Saccharomyces cerevisiae S288C: one gene and its partners. The protein of the gene in region 2 binds, or shares a complex with, the protein of the main gene of each other region. Each region holds a gene or a part of one and is shown on either strand. Other genes may lie near its edges. The genes, in order: RAD2, TFB1, RAD4 and TFB4. A codon is read from its position in the direction of its gene.

Region 1 (6,691 bases), on a different chromosome or scaffold from region 2:
AGCACCGAAACAGGTCAAACAGATACTCATCATTAATGGCGGACCCATAATTTTCAGAAGGTTAGTACCTATGGGGTCGAAAAGAACATACGTCGCGAAAAAAACTGTGACACATGTGTTATATTGCGTTCCTACAAGGTGGATATCCTTGGATAGACCTGCAACTTCTGCGTTACCAATATTCGATTTATCCAGGTTAGAAAGGAAATATAGCATCCCCATAAGAGGAATCAAGTATATATCCATTTTGCGCAAGACACGCTTTTCCATTGGATGGGAAGGGGAGGGGATGCCGTCATCATCCGTGGTAGTAGCCATAATTTCCCGTTCGGTGGCAAGTTCCGACTTCTTGTCATGGCTGCGATTATGCAAGCTAGCGTCATGGCCTTCATCTTCCTGGAACGTGACTTCCGTAGGCTTTTCTTCTGATCCATCATTGGTGGGTGATATGAAAAGCACATCATCCACCAAATGCTTAGGTGACTCCATTGTAAATTTGTTGCTCATCTAGAGGTAATGACAATAGTTCAATGCTCGAAAGTGAAGAAATATTTCTTTTTTTTTTTATATAAGCCTTCTGCGCAGTCGTTTTTTTTTCAGTCGCTGTCTCACGGGGGAAAATAGTTTGAAAAAGGCGAAGAGGGGGAAAACTGTGATGTGAATACGACTTCTAAGACAGTAAATATGGACGTATGCTTATAGCTTGGAGAGTTAGTTAATATAGAGAAATATAAATAGTAGATAAGAAGTACATATGAAACAAAAAAAAAATGGCAATAAAATAACAAAAGGATCTCGAGTAGGAACATACTTCAAAGAAAGGAAAACTCATGGTTTATATATTATCCAGAATTTTTAACGTAATCGGAGATGCGACAGATATTTCAGGGTGTATGGATGAGGTCAAAACAATACTAATCACACACGCCGCGAAGCCTTCGACGGTTCGTAACCTGTCCTCATGTGTGACGCATAGGATTCTACGGTAGATCCCGAGTATGCCCGGCTGTGATTGGTAACTATGATTGCGAGTAATAAGCGATCCGGCGTCCGGTGGTATTTTCTATTTTGTTGGTGCGACCGCTTCTTCGCAGAGAATGGGTGACTTGTAAAAGGAGAGAGACACTGGAAAAACCAACAGAATACGAGCAGGAAACTAGAAAATAAAAAACTAAAAAAAAAAAAAAACAAAAAGGAAAGGAAAAATTAGTAGAAGCCGGCGACGATTGCAGAATCCAGAGGGATACCGCTGTAACAGAGAATACGGGCACCCAGACAAGTGACTGGCGCCAGACTTTGTTATTTCACCTGGACCCGAATAATAATATTAAATAGTGATAATAATAATAACATATAGCATAAATAATAATGTACAAAATAATAATAATAAATAAATAAATGGTTCACCATGGACTGTACAGGCGTTCCGGAACGCACATAGTGACAGTACAAGACCTGGTTGTGTGCCATAATGGCCGGCATGTGAAATCGCGGCTTCTGTATATGTACATATCTGTTCTTTTACCATGTCGTCCATTTTCCGTTCACTTTAGCCAACACGGCGACGTTGTGCGGAATTGATTTGAAGTCGATTTTTTCTATGGAGTATTCCCAAACTGCCCCCAAATTTTGCAAATTAGTGCGCGGGGTGAATGGGTGCGTCAGAGCATTTACTGACACCTGGCGGCATAAGCAGCGACGTATCGTGTCCAAGGCAGGCCATAGCAAGAGCGTTTGTGATTGATTTTCAAGGCGCAGATACCATTGGAACACAGTAGCGCAGAAGGTACTCCTCAAAAGAGACAGAGAGAGAAATCAGAGTCAGGGAGCTTAGTAGCTGCTGTTACCAATATTATACAATAAGTAAGGTTTGCATATGCGGAAACTTCGCACTTGAATTTTTTTTTTTTTCTTTTTTGGTAGCTTTTTGATGTTTCCAGAGGATGTGAGTCAATGAGTGGTGTGACCCCAATACCACATTTTGTTGCTGTTTTTTTTTTTTCATTGTTAATTATCACTATTTTTTTTTCTTTCTAGTATAACCCATTCGAACCTCCGTGGAGGCATTAAAAGGGAGAGTGAAAAAAAAAAAAAGAAAAGAAAAAGAAAAGATGCCGCCACATATAGAGACCTTAAAGGGATTGAAAAACTGTACGTAAATCATTGAAGGTTCTACACGTCATCCATGAAGAAAAGCATTTTCGGGAGAACGCCAAACTTCAGACATGGGTGTGCATTCATTTTGGGATATTGCAGGTCCTACGGCAAGACCGGTCAGGCTGGAATCCTTGGAAGATAAGAGAATGGCAGTAGATGCCTCCATTTGGATATATCAGTTTTTGAAAGCTGTCCGTGATCAGGAGGGGAATGCAGTGAAGAATTCTCATATTACTGGGTTCTTTAGAAGAATTTGTAAGCTATTATACTTTGGCATTAGGCCGGTATTCGTCTTTGATGGTGGTGTGCCCGTATTGAAAAGGGAAACAATACGGCAGAGGAAAGAAAGAAGACAGGGAAAACGAGAGAGTGCGAAATCCACCGCTAGGAAGCTGCTGGCTTTACAATTGCAAAACGGCTCAAACGATAACGTAAAAAACTCTACACCGAGTAGTGGCAGTAGTGTGCAGATCTTCAAACCTCAGGACGAGTGGGACTTGCCCGATATACCGGGATTCAAATACGATAAGGAAGATGCAAGAGTTAACTCTAATAAAACTTTTGAAAAACTGATGAATTCGATAAACGGTGATGGACTGGAAGACATTGATTTAGACACTATAAATCCAGCATCGGCCGAATTTGAAGAGCTGCCAAAGGCCACACAGTATTTGATATTATCGTCGTTGAGGTTGAAATCAAGACTGAGGATGGGATACTCGAAAGAACAATTGGAGACCATCTTCCCAAATAGTATGGATTTCTCAAGATTTCAAATAGACATGGTGAAAAGGAGGAATTTTTTTACTCAAAAGTTAATCAACACTACTGGGTTTCAGGATGGTGGAGCGTCTAAGCTGAACGAGGAGGTGATCAATAGGATATCCGGCCAAAAGAGTAAAGAGTACAAGTTGACTAAGACTAATAACGGGTGGATTCTTGGACTAGGGGCAAACGATGGCTCTGATGCGCAAAAAGCAATCGTAATAGACGATAAAGATGCAGGCGCTTTGGTAAAGCAGTTAGATAGTAATGCTGAGGACGGGGACGTGCTCCGATGGGATGATTTGGAAGATAATTCCTTAAAAATAGTGCGACATGAGTCTTCTAACGCGACGACAGCTCCACAGAAAAGGAGTAACCGGTCAGAAGATGAGGGATGTGACTCTGATGAATGTGAGTGGGAAGAAGTTGAACTCAAGCCCAAGAACGTCAAGTTTGTGGAAGATTTTTCTTTGAAAGCTGCAAGGTTGCCTTACATGGGCCAATCCCTAAACAACGCTGGCAGTAAATCGTTTTTGGACAAAAGACATGATCAGGCATCGCCCTCCAAGACTACTCCAACAATGAGAATTAGCAGAATCAGCGTGGAAGACGACGATGAGGATTACCTGAAACAAATTGAGGAAATTGAAATGATGGAGGCAGTGCAACTTTCTAAGATGGAAAAGAAACCTGAAGCGGACGACAAATCAAAAATCGCTAAGCCGGTAACGTCAAAAGGTACAGAGGCTCGTCCACCAATAGTACAGTATGGATTACTTGGCGCACAACCGGATAGTAAGCAACCGTATCATGTCACAAATTTGAATAGCAAATCAGAGTCGGTCATCAAAAGGACCAGCAAGACAGTTCTTTCTGAGTTTAGGCCACCGTCTCAGCAGGAGGATAAAGGGGCTATTTTAACAGAGGGGGAGCAAAACCTGAATTTTATTTCTCACAAGATACCACAGTTTGATTTTAACAATGAAAATTCCCTGCTTTTTCAAAAGAATACCGAGAGTAATGTGTCCCAAGAAGCCACGAAGGAAAAGTCTCCAATTCCTGAAATGCCGAGCTGGTTTTCTTCAACTGCTTCCCAGCAGTTGTATAATCCCTATAACACAACAAATTTCGTGGAAGATAAAAACGTAAGAAATGAACAAGAAAGTGGAGCAGAAACTACCAATAAAGGGAGTAGCTATGAACTCTTGACAGGCTTAAATGCTACGGAAATATTAGAAAGAGAAAGCGAGAAAGAGAGCTCCAATGATGAAAACAAGGACGATGACTTAGAAGTTTTATCAGAAGAACTATTTGAGGACGTTCCCACTAAATCTCAGATTTCAAAAGAAGCAGAGGATAACGATAGTAGAAAAGTCGAATCTATAAATAAGGAGCATAGAAAGCCTCTTATATTCGACTATGACTTCTCCGAAGATGAAGAAGATAACATAGTAGAAAATATGATAAAGGAACAAGAAGAGTTTGATACATTTAAAAACACGACTTTGTCCACTTCTGCTGAAAGAAACGTTGCCGAGAACGCTTTTGTGGAGGATGAATTATTCGAACAACAGATGAAGGATAAAAGAGATTCGGATGAGGTAACTATGGATATGATCAAAGAAGTGCAAGAATTACTATCGAGGTTTGGAATCCCCTATATCACTGCGCCTATGGAAGCTGAAGCACAGTGTGCGGAATTGTTACAACTAAACCTTGTCGATGGTATAATTACCGATGACAGTGATGTTTTCCTATTTGGAGGTACAAAGATCTACAAAAATATGTTCCACGAAAAGAACTATGTTGAATTTTATGATGCGGAATCTATTTTAAAATTATTGGGCTTGGATAGAAAGAATATGATTGAGTTGGCACAGCTTTTAGGGAGCGATTACACGAATGGATTGAAGGGTATGGGTCCCGTTTCAAGCATTGAAGTGATTGCAGAATTTGGAAACCTAAAAAATTTTAAAGACTGGTATAATAATGGGCAGTTTGATAAACGTAAGCAAGAAACGGAAAATAAATTTGAAAAAGACCTGAGAAAAAAACTGGTAAATAACGAAATTATCTTAGATGATGATTTTCCTAGCGTCATGGTTTATGATGCGTATATGAGACCAGAAGTCGATCACGATACCACGCCGTTTGTTTGGGGGGTACCAGATCTCGATATGCTTCGTTCATTCATGAAGACTCAACTAGGTTGGCCACACGAAAAGTCTGATGAAATTCTCATTCCCTTAATTAGAGATGTTAATAAACGCAAAAAGAAGGGGAAGCAAAAAAGGATTAATGAATTTTTTCCAAGGGAGTACATATCTGGTGATAAGAAGCTCAATACAAGTAAGAGAATTTCAACCGCAACAGGTAAACTAAAGAAAAGAAAGATGTAATAACATATACTTATGTATGATTTACTATTTATAAACATTACCTTTGTTTCTGCATGTTAACAAAGTCAACCGATCCAGGAATAGTAGATATATACGGTCCTTTTGGTATCTTTGCGTCGGTGAGGTATGACACTTTTGGCACCCACCCAAACACGCGCAACGTTATTTTTCGCCATCTTGAAGATCTCAGAATAGCAATTAGAGAATAAGACACATTCTGTCATTTTTGCATATTTCCGGGAAGATCACTCCTCTGGAATTGGGGCACACTACCCTCATATTTGTGCCAGTTCACTTCACAGGAATCGTATGAGCCAAAGCCATAAAGTATCGTAGGAAAGGAAACGAGGTGTTGATAATACGATATGAGTGATCGCAATACAAGTAACAGCCTGACCTTAAAAGAACGAATGTTAAGTGCCGGTGCTGGATCAGTACTCACTTCTTTGATTTTGACACCGATGGATGTAGTGAGAATACGGCTGCAACAGCAGCAGATGATTCCTGACTGTTCATGTGATGGGGCTGCCGAAGTGCCCAACGCCGTTAGCTCAGGCTCCAAAATGAAGACATTCACCAACGTCGGAGGACAGAACTTGAACAACGCAAAAATATTTTGGGAGAGTGCTTGTTTTCAAGAACTGCACTGTAAAAATTCATCGTTGAAGTTCAACGGTACTTTAGAAGCATTCACGAAAATTGCCAGCGTCGAAGGTATTACAAGTTTGTGGAGGGGTATTTCTTTGACCCTATTAATGGCTATTCCTGCCAACATGGTTTATTTTAGTGGTTATGAATATATAAGAGACGTTTCTCCTATAGCCTCGACGTACCCAACATTAAACCCCCTCTTTTGTGGTGCAATTGCGAGGGTATTTGCAGCAACAAGTATTGCACCTTTAGAATTGGTTAAAACTAAACTGCAAAGTATACCGAGATCATCAAAGTCCACAAAGACATGGATGATGGTTAAAGATTTATTAAACGAAACGAGGCAGGAAATGAAAATGGTGGGTCCTTCTCGGGCCCTCTTCAAAGGTTTGGAGATCACTCTGTGGAGAGACGTTCCGTTTAGTGCAATATATTGGAGTTCCTATGAACTTTGCAAGGAAAGACTATGGCTAGATTCTACTCGATTTGCATCTAAGGACGCAAACTGGGTCCATTTTATAAACAGTTTTGCCAGTGGTTGCATAAGTGGGATGATAGCTGCTATATGCACACACCCTTTTGATGTCGGTAAGACGAGATGGCAAATATCCATGATGAACAATAGCGATCCGAAAGGCGGCAATAGGTCTAGAAACATGTTCAAGTTCTTAGAGACTATATGGCGTACAGAAGGTCTTGCGGCCCTCTACACGGGCCTG
Region 2 (5,499 bases):
ACACTAGCAATGGAGGATTTAATACATCATCATTATTTAACGATTTAGGTCTCTTCAAAAATTTTTTGATATCTCTACCCAGTGAATAGTCCAATACTTGAAAAGTAACAGTAGGACCTTGTGGAGTTCTAGCTATCTTTAGCGAGACATTTCCTGTTTTTTCAGATTGAGTGAACATGAAAAGATGCGTAACACCTAATGGGCCACACATAACAACAAAATCCTTCAGTTTATTGGACTTGCGCTCTTTTAGTTTTACGGCCGTATGCGGTTGCATGATCTGGCGAAAATCCTTTACTAATTGGTTTAGAGAATGGTTAGCCAATGAAGTTTGTCCCACTCTGATTACCATGGATTTAGGAATATCTCGTTCCTGCTCGGGTGTGATCTGCGCATGCGTTCTCTTTTTCTGCCTTCTTTTAGCCATTAGTTCCAAAATATCTAAGGTATGTGCGGGATGGTGACCTAGCAGCTGCAATTTAGTCGAATATTAGCTAGACTAGTTTATTTTGCCTATTTAATATCATTCATACAAGCCCGTCGATGAGATGCATCTACACTAAAAAATTGCAAAATCGTCCAAGATGATAGATAATGACTGAACTAACAGTCTGGAGTATTGCAAGTGCTTAGGTCTGTTTGGCAAAATTTTTGAAAATATTACTGAACCATTAGCAAGCTGTAATAGAACTAAAGCACCATTACTGATTTATTTTGACGAATCGTTTGCTAATTTTCAGCCACATCACATGCTGAAATATTTCCCGTTTGTTTCTTGTTTGTTTCACAAGCCATTCGCGCGCGTTTTCACGTTAAATGTTTTATTTACACGCACGGCTGCATCAGTGCAGCACAGCGTTAATCGAGTCCCGCGTTTTTCTATTGTTTACATAGAGACTAAAGACCAAAAAGGAAGAATACACACAATTAAGTTTTATGTAATATGTAACATGCAGTAAATAGATGAAAAATATGAATGTAAAAAGTGGTAACAACTGGAGAGCCTTTATATTTCTAGTTCGAATTGTTGTTATATTCGTTGAAGTACTCATCGTACTTATGAGTAGCCAAAGTAATGGAGTTCAAAACTGGCTTCAAATAGGCGGTACATGTGTTTGACATAGATTCACCATCACCATTAAGGACGTCTTGAAATAGCTCATTCAGCTTTTCAATACAGTCCTTCAAATGATTATAAAGTTTTTTGACGGTACTGGCTTGCTTTTGTTCACCGCTCTGAAAATGAATATAAAAGTGCTTTAGAAATTCACAGCACGTTGTGTGTAGCATTCTACAACTTTCTAATAGGTCTATTGGTAGGGTACTTTTCACCTCTAATTCATTTGCTTGAGAAGTGTTGTCGACAAAAGAGCCGAGTGCTGAATTAACATTGTTATGCTTAGCCTGTTTGGCGTTAATCTTGATTGCAGTTATGACTCTTTTATTGATCTTGTTGCTGACTTCGTTGTTAGGAACTACTTGGTTCAAGTCTAGCTTATTAATTAAATTATCCATGACCAATGACAACTGTTGTAACATTTGTTGATTAGAAACCTTCAAATCTGCATTCTTTATCGAGTCTGCCGAGCTTTTCGCATCGTTGTCGGTTGTCTTTTCATGTGCGTTCCTTTTCAGATGTATGATTGCATAGTTTGTCTTGTAGCTTTCGTTTAAGTCATCGATTTTCAGTTCATTTCTTTCATCATTATCTTCATCTTCCTCATCGTTTGTAATATTAGATTTGTTCTGTAGATTTGTCCTTGAATACTCATTCTTCAAAGCCATAATCATTTTTTCACTCAATCTATTCATACCCTTTAAGATGTCCACGGTACCATCGCTATTACCATTAATATCCACACCTGGCTGCATAGTGAAGTCGGGCCTGTTGCCTCGTACAACTGGGTCGTCCTGTATGTTACCATCTAAATCTATAATTTTTTTCACAGGATGCAATAGCATGTCATCATCTTTTCTGTCGAACTCTTGATCCAATGTCAAGTACCTGTCAATGATTACGTCACCTCTATCATTTTGCATGATCTTTTCACCCCTTAATTTTCTGAATAACTTCGAAGAGAAGAACCTTGCCCAGAACTCTGGTTCTTTGAAATTTTTGGGCACATTATCAGTGTAAGCTTTCTTTACAATTGGATAGTTCTCAAAAATATTCAAAATTTTTTCTCTTGACAAATTAACATTGACTTTGTTTTCCGATGAAGCCACCGGCTTGATAGTTGACAAAACGTTGTAAGGCCCAACTTTTTGAGAAGTAGATAAGGCAAAAGCCCTCAATAACGGAATTCTAGTTGACCAAAATTCAGATGGAGGCAAACCGGCGTTAATGACTGTTTCCTGAAAAACCTTCATTAGAACTTTGTTTCCTTTCAGTAAAGATTGCTGTAGCTTTAAATTGGTCAACAATTTTTCTTTAGAGAGAGAATCATCTAGTTTGGCTGTATTAATCAACGGAGCCCCATTATTCAATTGTGGTGTATCGAGATGTGGTGTGGGAGTCCCTGCAGTAACAGAAGAAGAGCTCATTGGTGTTTCTGTGTGTTGCGCAGACTCCTCTCTTCTTCTCTTTTCTTCGTAGATATCTGCATCTTTATACCGTGAGATGATTTGTTGAAGGGTCATCTTGATATTATCCATAACTGTTCTATTGTTAAACGAAAACATATGACGTTGCGGTTTGGGCACAACCTCATTTCCTTCGTTGTCTTTTCTCTTTTTTGACTCATCCACTTTCCCGATTAGCCTCAACATCATTTTTTCACTGGAAGCAGGGGTAGCTTGTAACTTGTCAATAGTGGATAAGACAACTGTGTGAACCTTGTCACCGTCCGTAGACCTCCATGTCAATTCTGCGGGTGAAACATCCTCATTTATGGCAATTATCCCAGAAACTTTCTCAAAAATGGCAGCTCCGGAATGTGACATTATGGTTTACTTTTATTTTTTCCCTACCCCTACCCTAGGTTAAATATTATTACTTTCACTGGGAAAGCTTATTATGCTAAATTTCAGTATTGTCTAAAAATTGCGTCAAAAACGAGCAGCCTTATCATGTCCCACGGGTTGTGGCTTTTCTAGTTTACTGTCGAATCATACTATCATTTTTAAAGATTGGTTTCCATTTTCGTTAGACCGATATCCATTACTTACACTCCTTTCATATCTTTCCCACGTGGCCTTAACTACGTTTACTAATACTTACTATGTAAGTCACAATTTCCATTAATTTGCGTCGTTCAACAAGATAAATTGCTGTAATTATATGACTGCGACGCGACGGCGACGTCAAATTTTTTTTTTTTTTCCTGAATGGAAAAGGGAAAGGACAACAAATGATGGCAAAATATTTCAGTTTGGATTCACAAGTTCTCCACTTGCATCCGCTATAGATAGCCACACTTGTTTCATTCAGCGCTTGTGATACCACGATTGTATCATTACTAGTGGCTTTAATTTTTTTTTTTTTTTCATCTATCCTTTTAATACCATTTGTGTTTGAAATAAACTGCTAAAAGAATTATACACAGGCATATTTTATCAAAAGTGTCAGCAAACAGAGCACAAGGGACTTGTTTAAAGTAGCTAAGTATCATAAAAATTTAGTCGCTAGTGGTATTATTGAGATCAAACGAAAAGTTTCATACATAATTAACAAAATTCGTTTGTTGCGGGGATGTCTGAGAACACCACAGCCCCTTCTGATAACATAACCAATGAACAGAGACTTCCGTCTGGACCCAAAGATGACGTAGATACGTTAGCACTTACCAGTGCTCAAAATCAAGCTAATAGTTTGAGGAAGCTAGATACAGATGCGAACGCTAAAGCTTTGCCATCCATCACAGACATACCAGTCAGTGATGATTCTGATATAAAACGACAAGTTGGCTCTGGTTTTGGTTCAAATCCGCTTCATATAAAAGATTCCGAGGCCTTTCCACATTCATCTATTGAAGCCCTAAAAGAGGGTATGGACAAAGTCACAAAACAATGCAACGATTTGAAGACGGCTTTGCTTTCCAAAGACACTTCCCTCACTGATTCTGTGCAGGATTTGTTTAACTCATTAAAAGTTTTATCACACAACCAATCAGTTTTGGAAAATAAGCTGGATGATGTCATGAAGAATCAAGTAAATACTGACATATTGGTCAATAATTTGAATGAACGATTGAACAAATTATCGACAATGTTGCAAAATACTTCGAAAGTAAATCACTCTAACCTTCTCATAGAAAATTCATCCAACAATACCAGTTCACAGCATAATACCTCTTCTTCTCGAAGGGGACCTGGCAGGCCAAGAAAAGATGCCTCGACCTCCACAATGAATAAGTTAGTGTCAAACGCAGCCTCGGTCAATCTCAAAAGTGCATCCAATCAGGGTGCTCCTTTCTCACCAGTAAATATTACTTTACCGACTGCCGTAGTACAAACGTCTAAATCCAAAAGGTATTTTGTGGAACCATCAACGAAACAAGAGTCGCTTTTATTATCTGCCCCTTCATCATCAAGAGATGATGCTGATATGTCCTTGACTTCCGTACCGCAAAGAACGAACAATGAAAATGGTAAAGAGCGACCATCCACTGCTAATTCTAGCTCCATCACACCAACACCTGTTACGCCGAACAACTTAATTCAAATCAAAAGAAAAAGAGGCAGGCCCCCAAAAAAGAGAACAGTGGAAACAATGATATCCAATTCCACGGATACGATAGATAAGTCAGATGCATCTAATCGGATTAAAAACGAGATTCCAATAAATTCCTTGCTTCCATCTTCCAAATTTCATCAAATACCATCATCTCCATCCAATCCTGTGTCACAACCGGCTCCGGTTCGGACTTCAAGGTCAGCCACACAAGAAATAGACATTAAAAGTTTAGAACTGGCCTCTCTAATTTCAACTAATGGTGATCCAAACGCAGAGGATTCGAATACTACTGATACTGTTCATAATAACGTGGAAGGAAAGGTAAATGTTGAAGAAAATAAAACCGAGAAGGAGAAAATAATAACCATCAAATCATCCAGCGAAAATAGTGGTAATAATACGACCAATAATAATAATACTGACAACGTCATTAAATTTTCAGCTAATTCAGATATCAATAGTGATATTCGCCGATTAATGGTTAACGATCAGTTTTCATTAAGTTATGACGCCAGCGGTAATATTACGGTCAAATTACCACCCGTTTCCTCTCCAGCAGCAGCAACAGCTGCCGCTGCTGCGGCGGTTACGTCAGAGATGAATAGACAACAAAGAGAATTAGATAAAAGACGTGATTCAAGGGAGAAAATGCTTGTTAATATGAAATATAACGATCGCGATAAAGCAAAGTCATTTATGGAGTCTAATAAGAAACTCTTAAAAGCAATGAAAGAAGAAGAGAGGAGGAAAAGAATGACTTCGATAATACATGATAATCACTTGAACTTAAATTTGAATGAGATCTCCACCCGTTCAAAGATAAA
Region 3 (6,236 bases), on a different chromosome or scaffold from region 2:
TATTTTCACTGTAGATTGCTTTTCAGATTGAGATTTTGGCTTAGATTTAGACTTTGATTTTGTTCTTGATTTCGGTTTTGATCGATTTTGTTTTATAGGAGAGCCATAATAATCATCATCTTCTTCAAAATCTTCCTCATCTTCGTCCTCTCCAGAATCTTCTTCGCCTTCTTCATCTTCAAATTCGTCTTCGTCGTCTTCAATCGTGGTCATTCTCTTCCTCCTCGACTGTTTAATATTATCTTCATCGTCCTCATCATCGCTATCGTTGAAGTAGTTTTGTTGATGCGCAGCAGCTCTATGTGACCGCCTCAGCCCATATAGTTCAGGATTTTGCAGCACTTCAGTAGAAATATCCTTGGCTGCCATTATAAGTGAGAATTAAATTAGAAAAGGTTCTGCTTTGAATTGGGTATAGGTTTAAAGAAATAACGGAAAAGTCTTGAAGCAAATGAAAAATAAAAACCTTTGAGAAACTTTGTCGTTAGTGAATAGGTAAGCTAGTGGAACTCAAGTACGAATTAAAGAAAATGATGGTCGATGTTTAGGCTTATTCAATTTTCTCCTTTGGAAGAAACAAGTATGTGTATATTCACAAAAGAAGTAACGGAAAAGAGAAGGTGACTTCTGCAAGCTTGCTTATCTTGACTTGATAACCCCAAACTTTTATCAACTTGACTTAGATGTCCGGACAAGAATACGATAGTACTAACCAGATATAATGAGGACAAGATTCTTCTACACAATGTTTCTCGTGGTACAGTTTCGAAATTGAAAAGAAGGAAAGGAAAAAAAGTAAAATTATATAACGAGAGGGTAACAGTATGATAATCGACTACTGAACTATGATCTGTTCGACAAGTGTTGCATATTACATGTCTTTAATGGTATCAATAATTGACATAATCTTATATCAGTAATGATATCAGGAAAGAACTTTGTAATGTTTGGGAACATATGTCCTAGTGTAGGGATGGGATGTGATAAGGATCGTGGGATGTTAAATTTATTCTCTTAGATGAAATTGCCTACACCTTCTGGACGGTTGATAATTAAGTTTTCAACTTTAGCGTGTTTCATTTTCAAAATATTGAAGAAGTGGCCTACCAGTGATATCCAACCGATGCGCGAGCAACACGCAAGCCCTTGGCTTGTGAGCAGCGTTTAGCTGACCGTATTACGCATTGATGGGCTGAGGAAAACATACAGGCAATCATGTCTTTTGATTTTGGCAACGTATGATCTTTTACCGTATATGGGGCAGTAACATATCATCGAAGTAAAAGCTAAAACAAAGAAAGTTAAAAAAAATAAACGTACAACATAGAAGCTTACCTTTCAAGGATATCTCAAAAGTATCAAATATATCACGGTGACTTCGGCCTGCGAAAGAAGATTTTCCTCGAACGGTGAAATACTGAGATGATCCATAAAGTAATGAGAGTGTTCTCGCTTGTATGGTTCGCTGACCTATGCCACCCGTGTTTCTCCATTGCGCAGAGGCTTCCATATTGACCACTACGTAGTGGCAACTTAAAACAATCAAAAATCGTTTTCTTCCTTAGGACTTGACTGCTTCGTCTTAAGATTATTGCCAGAAATTGAAGACAGAAAACATCAGTGAGAGGGGAGGGAGAGAGTGTCGCAACGTATGACCTCTTTTAAAGGCGTATGTCAACCAGCGGTTATCAATAGTTCCCTTGTGTTAAGGGAAGCTTGGAAGTTGTCACCAACACCTAGCAGACTTTTCTTCGACGTCCTCCCTAGTGGTTTATATGAAGAGAATGAGAAAATTTGCCACTCCAGTAATTTTTCCTTTTTTTTTTTTTTGGATTCGCCAAGGAGCGGGATAATTGGTATTCTGGGTAACGCTAAAAGGTAAGGTCAATATTAGCTATGAGTTTAGTCTCGAGGTGATTTAACCTTGGAAGAAGCAATCACGACGTTGGTTTGGGCTTATAAAAAGTTGTATGGCCAAATGACTAATGACAACAGTGGTATCTGGGTCCTAGGCTACGGATCTCTGATTTACAAGCCTCCGTCTCATTACACGCATAGAATACCGGCAATAATTCACGGTTTTGCTCGTCGGTTCTGGCAAAGTTCCACTGATCATAGGGGTACACCTGCAAACCCAGGAAGAGTGGCCACACTAATCCCGTATGAGGATATTATAAGGCAAACTGCCTTCTTGAAGAATGTGAATTTGTATAGTGAAAGTGCACCTATCCAGGATCCCGACGACTTAGTCACCATAGGGGTAGTGTATTATATACCACCAGAACATGCTCAAGAGGTTAGAGAGTATTTGAACGTAAGAGAACAAAACGGGTACACTCTACATGAGGTTGAGGTGCATCTAGAAACTAATCGGGAGCACGAGGCAGAATTGGGTGAAGCATTAGAACAGTTGCCTCGGCACAACAAATCGGGTAAACGGGTACTACTTACTTCGGTGTACATTGGTACAATAGATAATGAGGCCTTCGTCGGACCAGAGACCGTGGATGAAACTGCGAAAGTAATTGCCGTGTCGCATGGACCTAGTGGATCTAACTATGAATACCTTGCAAAACTGGAGCAAGCGCTAGCGCAAATGCCCATCATGAAAGAGCGAGGGCGTATTACCGATCATTATCTGACTGCTCTATTGGAGACTGTAAATAAATACAGGTGAATGAAATATGTATACATATCTTGATTAACTATGTAAGGTTCTCCTCTTGCTTTTCTACCATCTATATAGTGCGGCGGAAAATGGAAAAATGCGGTTAAGTACCTTTAATGCATGCACAATATATGCAAATTTTATGCAGTTCAAACAGGACGACAAGCAGAGACATAACGACACTATTTTTCCGCTAAAATGAATGAAGACCTGCCCAAGGAATATTTTGAACTAATAAGGAAGGCTCTTAACGAGAAAGAGGCAGAAAAAGCGCCCCTGAGTAGAAGAAGAAGAGTCAGAAGGAAGAACCAGCCCCTACCAGATGCCAAGAAGAAGTTTAAAACAGGGTTGAATGAATTGCCACGAGAAAGCGTTGTTACTGTAAACTTAGATTCTTCAGATGATGGCGTCGTTACGGTACCGACGGATGATAGTGTAGAGGAAATCCAGTCATCTGAAGAAGATTATGATTCGGAGGAATTTGAAGACGTGACAGATGGAAATGAGGTGGCCGGTGTAGAAGATATATCTGTTGAAATTAAGCCCTCTAGTAAAAGGAATAGTGATGCTAGAAGGACAAGCCGCAACGTTTGTTCTAATGAAGAACGGAAAAGGAGAAAATATTTCCACATGTTGTATCTAGTTTGCTTGATGGTTCATGGATTTATACGAAATGAATGGATTAACAGCAAGCGCTTGTCTAGAAAACTGAGCAACTTAGTTCCTGAGAAAGTGTTTGAGCTACTGCATCCTCAGAAAGATGAGGAACTCCCACTTAGGAGTACTAGGAAATTATTAGATGGGTTGAAGAAATGCATGGAGTTATGGCAAAAACACTGGAAGATCACTAAAAAATATGATAATGTGGGACTTTATATGAGAACCTGGAAAGAAATTGAAATGAGCGCCAATAACAAAAGAAAATTCAAGACGTTGAAAAGATCTGACTTTTTAAGGGCCGTCAGTAAAGGTCACGGAGATCCTGATATTTCAGTGCAAGGTTTCGTTGCGATGCTCAGGGCTTGTAATGTTAACGCACGACTTATCATGTCATGTCAACCGCCAGATTTTACCAATATGAAGATTGACACTTCTTTGAATGGAAACAATGCGTACAAAGATATGGTCAAGTATCCGATTTTTTGGTGTGAAGTGTGGGACAAATTCTCTAAGAAATGGATAACTGTTGACCCAGTAAATCTCAAAACCATTGAACAGGTCAGACTTCATTCCAAGTTGGCACCGAAAGGCGTGGCGTGCTGCGAAAGAAATATGTTGAGGTACGTGATTGCTTACGATCGGAAGTATGGCTGTAGAGATGTAACTCGAAGATATGCCCAATGGATGAACTCTAAAGTAAGAAAAAGAAGAATTACTAAAGATGACTTTGGTGAGAAATGGTTCAGAAAAGTGATAACAGCACTTCACCATAGAAAGAGAACCAAAATTGATGATTACGAAGATCAATATTTTTTTCAGAGAGATGAAAGTGAAGGCATACCAGATTCGGTGCAGGATTTGAAAAACCACCCATATTATGTTTTAGAACAAGATATCAAACAGACTCAAATTGTAAAGCCAGGATGTAAAGAGTGTGGATATTTAAAAGTACATGGAAAAGTTGGGAAGGTTTTGAAAGTTTATGCAAAAAGAGATATTGCGGATTTGAAAAGTGCTAGACAATGGTACATGAACGGCCGAATTTTAAAAACTGGTAGCAGGTGTAAAAAGGTGATAAAGAGGACAGTTGGAAGGCCTAAGGGCGAAGCAGAAGAAGAAGATGAAAGATTATATAGCTTTGAAGACACAGAATTATACATCCCTCCATTAGCCAGTGCGAGCGGTGAAATAACCAAGAATACATTTGGAAACATCGAAGTTTTTGCACCAACGATGATACCTGGTAACTGTTGTTTGGTTGAGAATCCTGTGGCAATTAAAGCTGCTAGGTTTTTGGGGGTGGAATTTGCACCTGCTGTAACTTCTTTTAAGTTTGAACGCGGCAGTACAGTTAAGCCAGTTTTAAGTGGCATTGTTGTTGCAAAGTGGCTCAGAGAAGCTATTGAAACCGCTATTGATGGAATAGAGTTTATTCAAGAGGATGATAATAGGAAGGAACATTTGCTTGGTGCTTTGGAGAGTTGGAATACTTTACTGCTAAAACTGCGTATTCGTAGCAAGCTGAACTCCACATATGGTAAAATTGCCGAGGAAGAACCTAACGTTACGAAGGAACAGAATATTGCGGACAATCACGATAATACGGAGACTTTTATGGGAGGTGGGTTCCTACCAGGTATAGCAAACCACGAAGCAAGGCCGTATAGTGAACCTTCAGAGCCAGAAGATAGTTTAGATTATGTTTCTGTTGACAAAGCGGAGGAAAGTGCTACAGACGACGATGTCGGGGAGGATTATTCGGATTTTATGAAAGAACTAGAGATGTCAGAGGAATCAGACTGAAATGAGGCTGAAACGGTTTGAATAATTAGGAAAGTATGTTTTTAATAAAGAAATTCTATGTTCAGGAATTTTGTATATACTTTGTAATGAATGAGAACTTAGTTGGCTTCAAACTTTTTCGTTTAACATGATTATTTTTCTTGTTCGACTAAGATATTCCCACATGGACAAGTGCCACAGATTAATATATGAATACAATAAAATAACTAGTGTAATTTGAAAATAAAAGTTGATGAGAGGGACAGGGACTTGAGTCCTATTCAAAGTGAAATATTTTAGTTATGAGTTTTCTTTCCAAACTTTCCCAAATACGAAAATCAACGACTGCATCAAAAGCCCAAGTGCAAGATCCATTACCCAAGAAGAATGACGAAGAGTATTCCTTGTTACCCAAAAATTACATAAGAGACGAAGATCCTGCAGTAAAAAGATTGAAGGAGCTGAGGCGGCAGGAACTGTTAAAGAATGGTGCTTTGGCTAAAAAAAGTGGTGTAAAACGGAAACGTGGCACCTCATCTGGATCTGAGAAAAAGAAAATAGAAAGGAATGACGATGATGAAGGTGGCCTTGGAATTAGGTTTAAGAGGTCTATTGGAGCAAGTCATGCGCCACTCAAGCCAGTTGTAAGGAAGAAACCTGAACCTATCAAAAAGATGTCATTTGAAGAGCTAATGAAACAAGCGGAAAATAATGAGAAACAGCCCCCAAAAGTTAAGTCATCGGAACCCGTAACTAAGGAACGCCCACATTTTAACAAGCCAGGTTTCAAAAGTTCAAAAAGACCACAAAAGAAAGCATCCCCTGGCGCAACATTGCGTGGAGTATCTTCTGGAGGCAATAGCATAAAATCATCAGACTCACCCAAGCCCGTCAAGCTCAACTTGCCCACAAATGGATTTGCTCAACCTAATAGGAGATTAAAAGAAAAGTTAGAATCTAGAAAACAGAAATCAAGATACCAGGATGACTATGATGAAGAAGATAACGATATGGATGATTTTATAGAAGACGATGAAGATGAAGGTTACCACAGCAAATCGAAACACAGCAATGGTCCCGGATATGATCGTGACGAAATTTGGGCTATGTTCAATAGAGGCAAGAA
Region 4 (4,746 bases), on a different chromosome or scaffold from region 2:
GTGGCAATGACAAAGTCGATGACATATCAGCATTGCGATGATGAAAAAATCTCTTCATAGCTTCATTAACACCAAATTGTAATGAAACACATGCACCAACACCAATTAATGGCGTCAGAGTTCCTTTGTAAAACCCGCGAGGCCCTTCATTGGCAAGCAGCTTTCTGACGACTTCCATGGCTGTTGTTGGGGTGCTCGATGTTTGTAACCTAACTTTTGTCGTATCAAAGGGCTGGCCCACTAGCACTTGCGCAATACCACCCGCTGTACCTGCAAGCAAATCTTTCACGACTCGAGCATTATCATGCTGTGGATGTTCTTCCAAATCATCGATTAGTTGAGGAGATGGAAATTCTTCAGACATACTTCTTCGTGATGCGAATTTGATTGACGAGAAACCTAAACAAGAGAGCTGCGTTGGAGTATAGATGATAGTTGTTATTAGCTTATTGACATTGATTGATGCTATAGCATGGCTACATCATCGCTGACAATTTGCGCTCGAGTTTTCTTAGGGCGCCGCTTATCTTCGGCCTATCAGTAAATGTAAGAATGAGTCAATCAAAGTAATAACACTTTTTACTTCCTGTAAAAAACTACATAAGAAATTTATTTACATTATTCTATCAAGTCTTTTTGACCATAGTTCACTGCTATAACAGACACTGTCAGCTCAGTTATCGTCATATTCTCCACCGCGGCTGGTATCTCAACATTCAATTCCGCCATCTCCTTCGGGAGTGTTATTTTATTCTCATGTGCTTCAACTGGCTTCTTTTGAATCAGTTCAAGGCATTTCTTTCCAAGATCTCTCAAGATGCTTGTATATTCTGCCGTGACTCTTTCGGGTGTATGTACCAGTATGTAGAATAGCCAATCTTGCAGCCGACGATAATGCCTTCCTTTCTTGTGTATTTCTTTTATCCATGTATTCGACATATACTTGATCAGAACCCAAAGTTGCTTAGAGGTAATCTTTTCATGAAAAGTAGTATGCTGCGGTTCATTGTTTATAAGGTATTGGAACCACTGGTTGTATCCAACTAGTTCATGTTTATCTCCTTCAGTGATTACTTTTTTTACATCCTCAACACTGTCAATCTTGGTTTTTTCCAGCCGTACCAAAATATTCTTCGCCCATTCCTCATCAATCTGAAGATTTTCTTCCTTCTCTTCTGCCTTCTCAGGAAAGGAATGCTGATTTAGGACACTTATAATTTTTTCAACTGTAGTACATTTGCTGGGCATATCTTCGAGATAATTCTTTAAGAAAAGCAATAAAAGATCCAGTGTTTCGTCCTCATAACCGGTAAACTCGTAGGCATTAGTCAACACCGTCGCCTTCACAGAGTTAAACCACCTTACCCATATTTCTACATTCCTTTGAAGCCTAATCAAGGATGGCGAGATGGCGTGCCTTTTAAGGGCCCCCTCATCCTCATCATCGTACATGCTTGATTTGTGACGCGTCCTCTTTTGCAGATTCATATGATTCTTAATCGATATGGCGTTGGTTCTTAGTGCTTCTTGCCTAACACTTTTAAGATATTCAATGACATCAGGATTCACTGAAGAATCAGATAGTGCAAATGCACGAGATTGACCAAAGATGGCATCAGGCGCCTGGCTTTCTCCTCTTTTCATTGTTTATCACCTAATGTTTCTGTTATGATGGATGTTGGCAATGTTATTGTATGATACATTATCCAAAGCGAACTAATAAATCTACCGAAGCAACAACAGCGATGCACCCAGACAGTACATAGATAGTTATATTATCAAATTCGATATGATTGAAGTCAAAACAGTTCAAAGATGACACAACGTCTTAAGCTAATCACATCAAAAGCTTTTTTTTTTCTGTGGAATGTCCAATATACATGTGCTTAAAGCTAATTTTTTTTTATGTATTATTACGATGCATTGTGACGAAGGTTACCTGCTTGAAACGGATAATGTTCATTCCTTTCGTTCATGGTTTCGTCACCTTCTTTTTGGCTTTCAACCTTGGAACAACTGGTTTCCTCTTCAACTTGGCAATTACGTGCTCATCAAATTGAGAATCACAAGCAGGACATTTATTTCCGGGCGGTATGATTGATAAGACACATAGGCAAACTGAACAGATGAATCCAACGGCAACAACTCTCCCTGTTAAATAGCATGATGTCCTAAAATCTACAGATCCATGGTTTGGCTTAACAATTATAGGTCTTAACGACGGATCAATAAACATTGCAGTTGCTAAATATTGAATTAGCCCTTCTGTAGATTCAACATGTAAATAAACGCCATTTGTGGCATCCGTCGTTTGCTGTAAAAACGTGCTTTCCTTAGAACCACCAATCTTTACGACATCAATGGGACATTTCATTTTTGTTGCGGAAAAAATACAGTTCATTATAGGGATGTATTGGAAAATTTCATCTTTACTACTGCCACTCCCGCACGTAAGAACAAGTAGCCTTGATTTTAATGAGGTAGTTACTGACTCTTTTGATATTCTGTTTACATAAGTCAGCCCAGCTGACATGGCACCTGCTAGCGTGCTCCTTTGACTATTTTGTTCGATTTGTTTCTTTTCTAACTCAAATAGTTTATATATTTCTTCCACTAGCGTCTCATCAACGTTTCTAAAACGTCTATACATATCTGAGTTAATAATCTTAAGATCACTACGGGTTTTATTTTCAGATTCAGAGGCTTTTAGAGCAGATGTGCTCTCTGGGTATAAATATTTGATTCCCTGAGAGTATGCAGCAATGACTGCTACTTTGTTGGCGCTATTGAACGCTAAGTGAGCATTGAGAAATACTATCAATGCCTCTAAAACCTTTATTATACTTCCTTTCTCATTTCCTTCCTCATCAAAAGTTGTCCATAACTTTGGTGCAATTTCTATAATAACGGTAAGCAAAGATGGTGATTCTTCAGTAACCTGTTTTCTTGATCTAGCATGCTTAAACGTTGGATCAGATATTGCATCCATTTCTGATTGCTTCGCTTCAGTATATTTTATTGGATCGTGTATATTTCTACTCAAGTGTTGATTGATGTTGTAATGTTCCTTCAGGTATCTTTGAATTTCAACAGAACAAGACGAGCTGCGCGCTGAAAATAAAATAAAAGTGCAAGTGAAAAATATTGTAAAAATAAGGTAATTAAAAATATAGTTATTCGCTTATTATTGATCATTTTCATTCATTTATTTATCAAATTAATTTTACACAAACTAAAAATGTCATTTTTCGTTTGCAGTATGGACAGCATTCAATTTGCTTTTAAGTTTTCCAATCTTGGTGCGGGCTCCTTCTTTCGACTGCTCTTTTTCGAGGTTACTTAGTTTCTCCAAAGCTTCAGTGTACCTCTTATTGGAAGGTTTTATGGAACCCTTAGTTGAGCTAGTGCTTTGTCTCTTCAATTGACGATGCATTTCCTCGCTAAACTGCAGCCTCAATATGGTTTTCAAATCTTCGACAGAACAATGCGGTAATTCATTGTCTTTTATATATTCAAATAGTTCAGCTTCACTGGAGCCGCATAAAGAGTAAAAATTCATTGTGACGTTCATATTAATTTTTGATGGTTCAGAAGAAAGATTTCTATAGGCATGTTGTAAGACATTTACATTTCTCAACATTTTCTTTATCCCGTTATGGTTCAAAACTTTTATGGATTTGGCACCCTTAATCAAGGCGTAGTTGTTGACTATATCAAGACCAATAAATATGGAGTTTTTTTCCTTTTCTGGTAACTGTTGTTTCAATTTGCTTTCAGTCCTTCTTAATTCGGAAATTAGAGAAGCTATATTTTGATCTAATTCAATACTACCCACATCCATATTCCAAATTTTGGTGTTTTGAAAAAAAGACCCGATGTCGTATATACACAAGGCCCTAATGTTGAACCTCAGTATAGTGATTAGTTTGAATTTCAAGGTTTTGAATCCGTCGATAGTCTCATCAAATTTTTTGGAGGCTTTATCATCCAATAAAATTTTTAGATTTCCTAATGAATTTGGGCTGGAACTAGGGTTCGAATAGTTTAAATCCATTGATTCAGAAAATGTCCAGCTGCTCCTTAATCTATCAGCATCTAACATGGGTTCTTGGCTTACTTCATCAATATTGATAGCCTTTTTTAAGCCTGGCAGCCAGTTTAATATCCATAACACGCTTGCCGAAAACTGCAGAATTGTGTCCAATGTCAAGTTATTGAATAAATCAGATTTGCTCAAACCTTTACCCGCTTGATAGAAATGAGGTATTTCCTTAAATAACTCTATGGATTCTTCATGAAAGAGTGTCTCATCCCCATTCAGAATTTTTTGTTCTTGATCCATCAAAATACCATTCTGCAACCATGCCGTAATTATTTTCCTAGTTAAATGTCTATCAGAAGTACCAATCAAGGAATTAAATAGCCCCAAGTAGTAATTATAAAAATGATTCAAAAGATCTAGAATGCAGTACGATATTTTTTCTCTAAATGTGTTTGCTGTGTTGAAAACATTCAATAAATTGTAAAATAACCTTTGAAAATCTAATGCTGTTTTAAAAATGTTATGATTTTCATCGGATAGCTCTAAGGCGTACGGATTATTGGATTCTACTTCAACCGTGAATAAATAATCCATAGTCATCTGAATCTTTGGGAGAAAACTTTTATTCATATAATCATCGAAAAAGGTTAGGGATGAAATAGTATTTTGTGTTAAGACACTGGGAACAATTGTAGATGTCGATT

Evidence for each region.
Region 1: the proteins of TFB1 (region 2) and RAD2 are in contact, whole or in part, in an NMR structure (PDB 2LOX), measured with the Saccharomyces cerevisiae proteins. Residues at the interface, in NP_010597.3 of Saccharomyces cerevisiae: Leu48 (codon at 2,802), Gln49 (codon at 2,799), Ala50 (codon at 2,796), Thr51 (codon at 2,793), Pro52 (codon at 2,790), Ser55 (codon at 2,781), Lys57 (codon at 2,775), Met59 (codon at 2,769), Arg61 (codon at 2,763), Met88 (codon at 2,682), Ser90 (codon at 2,676), Lys101 (codon at 2,643), Gln105 (codon at 2,631), Ile108 (codon at 2,622), Ser109 (codon at 2,619), Lys112 (codon at 2,610), Asp113 (codon at 2,607), Asp115 (codon at 2,601); in NP_011774.1 of Saccharomyces cerevisiae: Leu665 (codon at 4,218), Ser666 (codon at 4,221), Glu667 (codon at 4,224), Leu669 (codon at 4,230), Phe670 (codon at 4,233), Glu671 (codon at 4,236), Asp672 (codon at 4,239), Val673 (codon at 4,242), Pro674 (codon at 4,245), Thr675 (codon at 4,248), Lys676 (codon at 4,251), Ser677 (codon at 4,254), Ile679 (codon at 4,260).
Region 3: the proteins of TFB1 (region 2) and RAD4 are in contact, whole or in part, in an NMR structure (PDB 2M14), measured with the Saccharomyces cerevisiae proteins. Residues at the interface, in NP_010597.3 of Saccharomyces cerevisiae: Asp46 (codon at 2,808), Lys47 (codon at 2,805), Leu48 (codon at 2,802), Gln49 (codon at 2,799), Ala50 (codon at 2,796), Thr51 (codon at 2,793), Pro52 (codon at 2,790), Ser55 (codon at 2,781), Lys57 (codon at 2,775), Met59 (codon at 2,769), Leu60 (codon at 2,766), Arg61 (codon at 2,763), Met88 (codon at 2,682), Gln105 (codon at 2,631), Ile108 (codon at 2,622), Lys112 (codon at 2,610); in NP_011089.4 of Saccharomyces cerevisiae: Asp91 (codon at 3,137), Glu93 (codon at 3,143), Glu94 (codon at 3,146), Phe95 (codon at 3,149), Glu96 (codon at 3,152), Val98 (codon at 3,158), Thr99 (codon at 3,161), Asp100 (codon at 3,164), Gly101 (codon at 3,167), Asn102 (codon at 3,170).
Region 4: the proteins of TFB1 (region 2) and TFB4 are in contact, whole or in part, in a cryo-EM structure (PDB 7K01), measured with the Saccharomyces cerevisiae proteins. Residues at the interface, in NP_010597.3 of Saccharomyces cerevisiae: Gln467 (codon at 1,545), Gln471 (codon at 1,533), Met477 (codon at 1,515), Asp478 (codon at 1,512), Asn482 (codon at 1,500), Leu486 (codon at 1,488), Asn487 (codon at 1,485), Gln488 (codon at 1,482), Pro491 (codon at 1,473), Asn492 (codon at 1,470), Asn493 (codon at 1,467), Val503 (codon at 1,437), Ile504 (codon at 1,434), Ala506 (codon at 1,428), Ile507 (codon at 1,425), Asn510 (codon at 1,416), Ala511 (codon at 1,413), Gln513 (codon at 1,407), Ala514 (codon at 1,404), Lys515 (codon at 1,401); in NP_015381.1 of Saccharomyces cerevisiae: Ser49 (codon at 2,845), Ile51 (codon at 2,839), Glu55 (codon at 2,827), Val59 (codon at 2,815), Tyr130 (codon at 2,602), Glu136 (codon at 2,584), Glu141 (codon at 2,569), Glu242 (codon at 2,266), Gly243 (codon at 2,263), Ile245 (codon at 2,257), Gln246 (codon at 2,254), Tyr247 (codon at 2,251), Ile262 (codon at 2,206), Val263 (codon at 2,203), Lys264 (codon at 2,200), Pro265 (codon at 2,197), Asn266 (codon at 2,194).

The regions. Positions count from the first base shown.
Region 1 is NC_001139.9:1,006,301-1,012,991, reverse strand, and holds RAD2 (ssDNA endodeoxyribonuclease RAD2), read left to right. Parts: upstream 1-2,225; coding exon 2,226-5,321; downstream 5,322-6,691. Other genes in the region: TNA1 (Tna1p), read right to left, coding at 1-507; MTM1 (Mtm1p), read left to right, coding at 5,687-6,691. UniProt on the Saccharomyces cerevisiae protein: Single-stranded DNA endonuclease involved in excision repair of DNA damaged with UV light, bulky adducts, or cross-linking agents. Essential for the incision step of excision-repair.
Region 2 is NC_001136.10:1,082,509-1,088,007, reverse strand, and holds TFB1 (TFIIH/NER complex subunit TFB1), read right to left. Parts: upstream 2,944-5,499; coding exon 1,015-2,943; downstream 1-1,014. Other genes in the region: SSF2 (rRNA-binding ribosome biosynthesis protein), read right to left, coding at 1-427; SUM1 (Sum1p), read left to right, coding at 3,692-5,499. UniProt on the Saccharomyces cerevisiae protein: Component of the general transcription and DNA repair factor IIH (TFIIH) core complex, which is involved in general and transcription-coupled nucleotide excision repair (NER) of damaged DNA and, when complexed to TFIIK, in RNA transcription by RNA polymerase II.
Region 3 is NC_001137.3:499,525-505,760, reverse strand, and holds RAD4 (Rad4p), read left to right. Parts: upstream 1-2,866; coding exon 2,867-5,131; downstream 5,132-6,236. Other genes in the region: chromatin-remodeling ATPase CHD1, read right to left, coding at 1-369; GCG1 (gamma-glutamylcyclotransferase), read left to right, coding at 1,979-2,677; SPT2 (Spt2p), read left to right, coding at 5,413-6,236. UniProt on the Saccharomyces cerevisiae protein: Involved in nucleotide excision repair of DNA damaged with UV light, bulky adducts, or cross-linking agents.
Region 4 is NC_001148.4:669,369-674,114, reverse strand, and holds TFB4 (TFIIH/NER complex subunit TFB4), read right to left. Parts: upstream 2,990-4,746; coding exon 1,973-2,989; downstream 1-1,972. Other genes in the region: YMC1 (organic acid transporter), read right to left, coding at 1-364; BRR1 (Brr1p), read right to left, coding at 619-1,644; exocyst subunit SEC8, read right to left, coding at 3,242-4,746. UniProt on the Saccharomyces cerevisiae protein: Component of the general transcription and DNA repair factor IIH (TFIIH) core complex, which is involved in general and transcription-coupled nucleotide excision repair (NER) of damaged DNA and, when complexed to TFIIK, in RNA transcription by RNA polymerase II.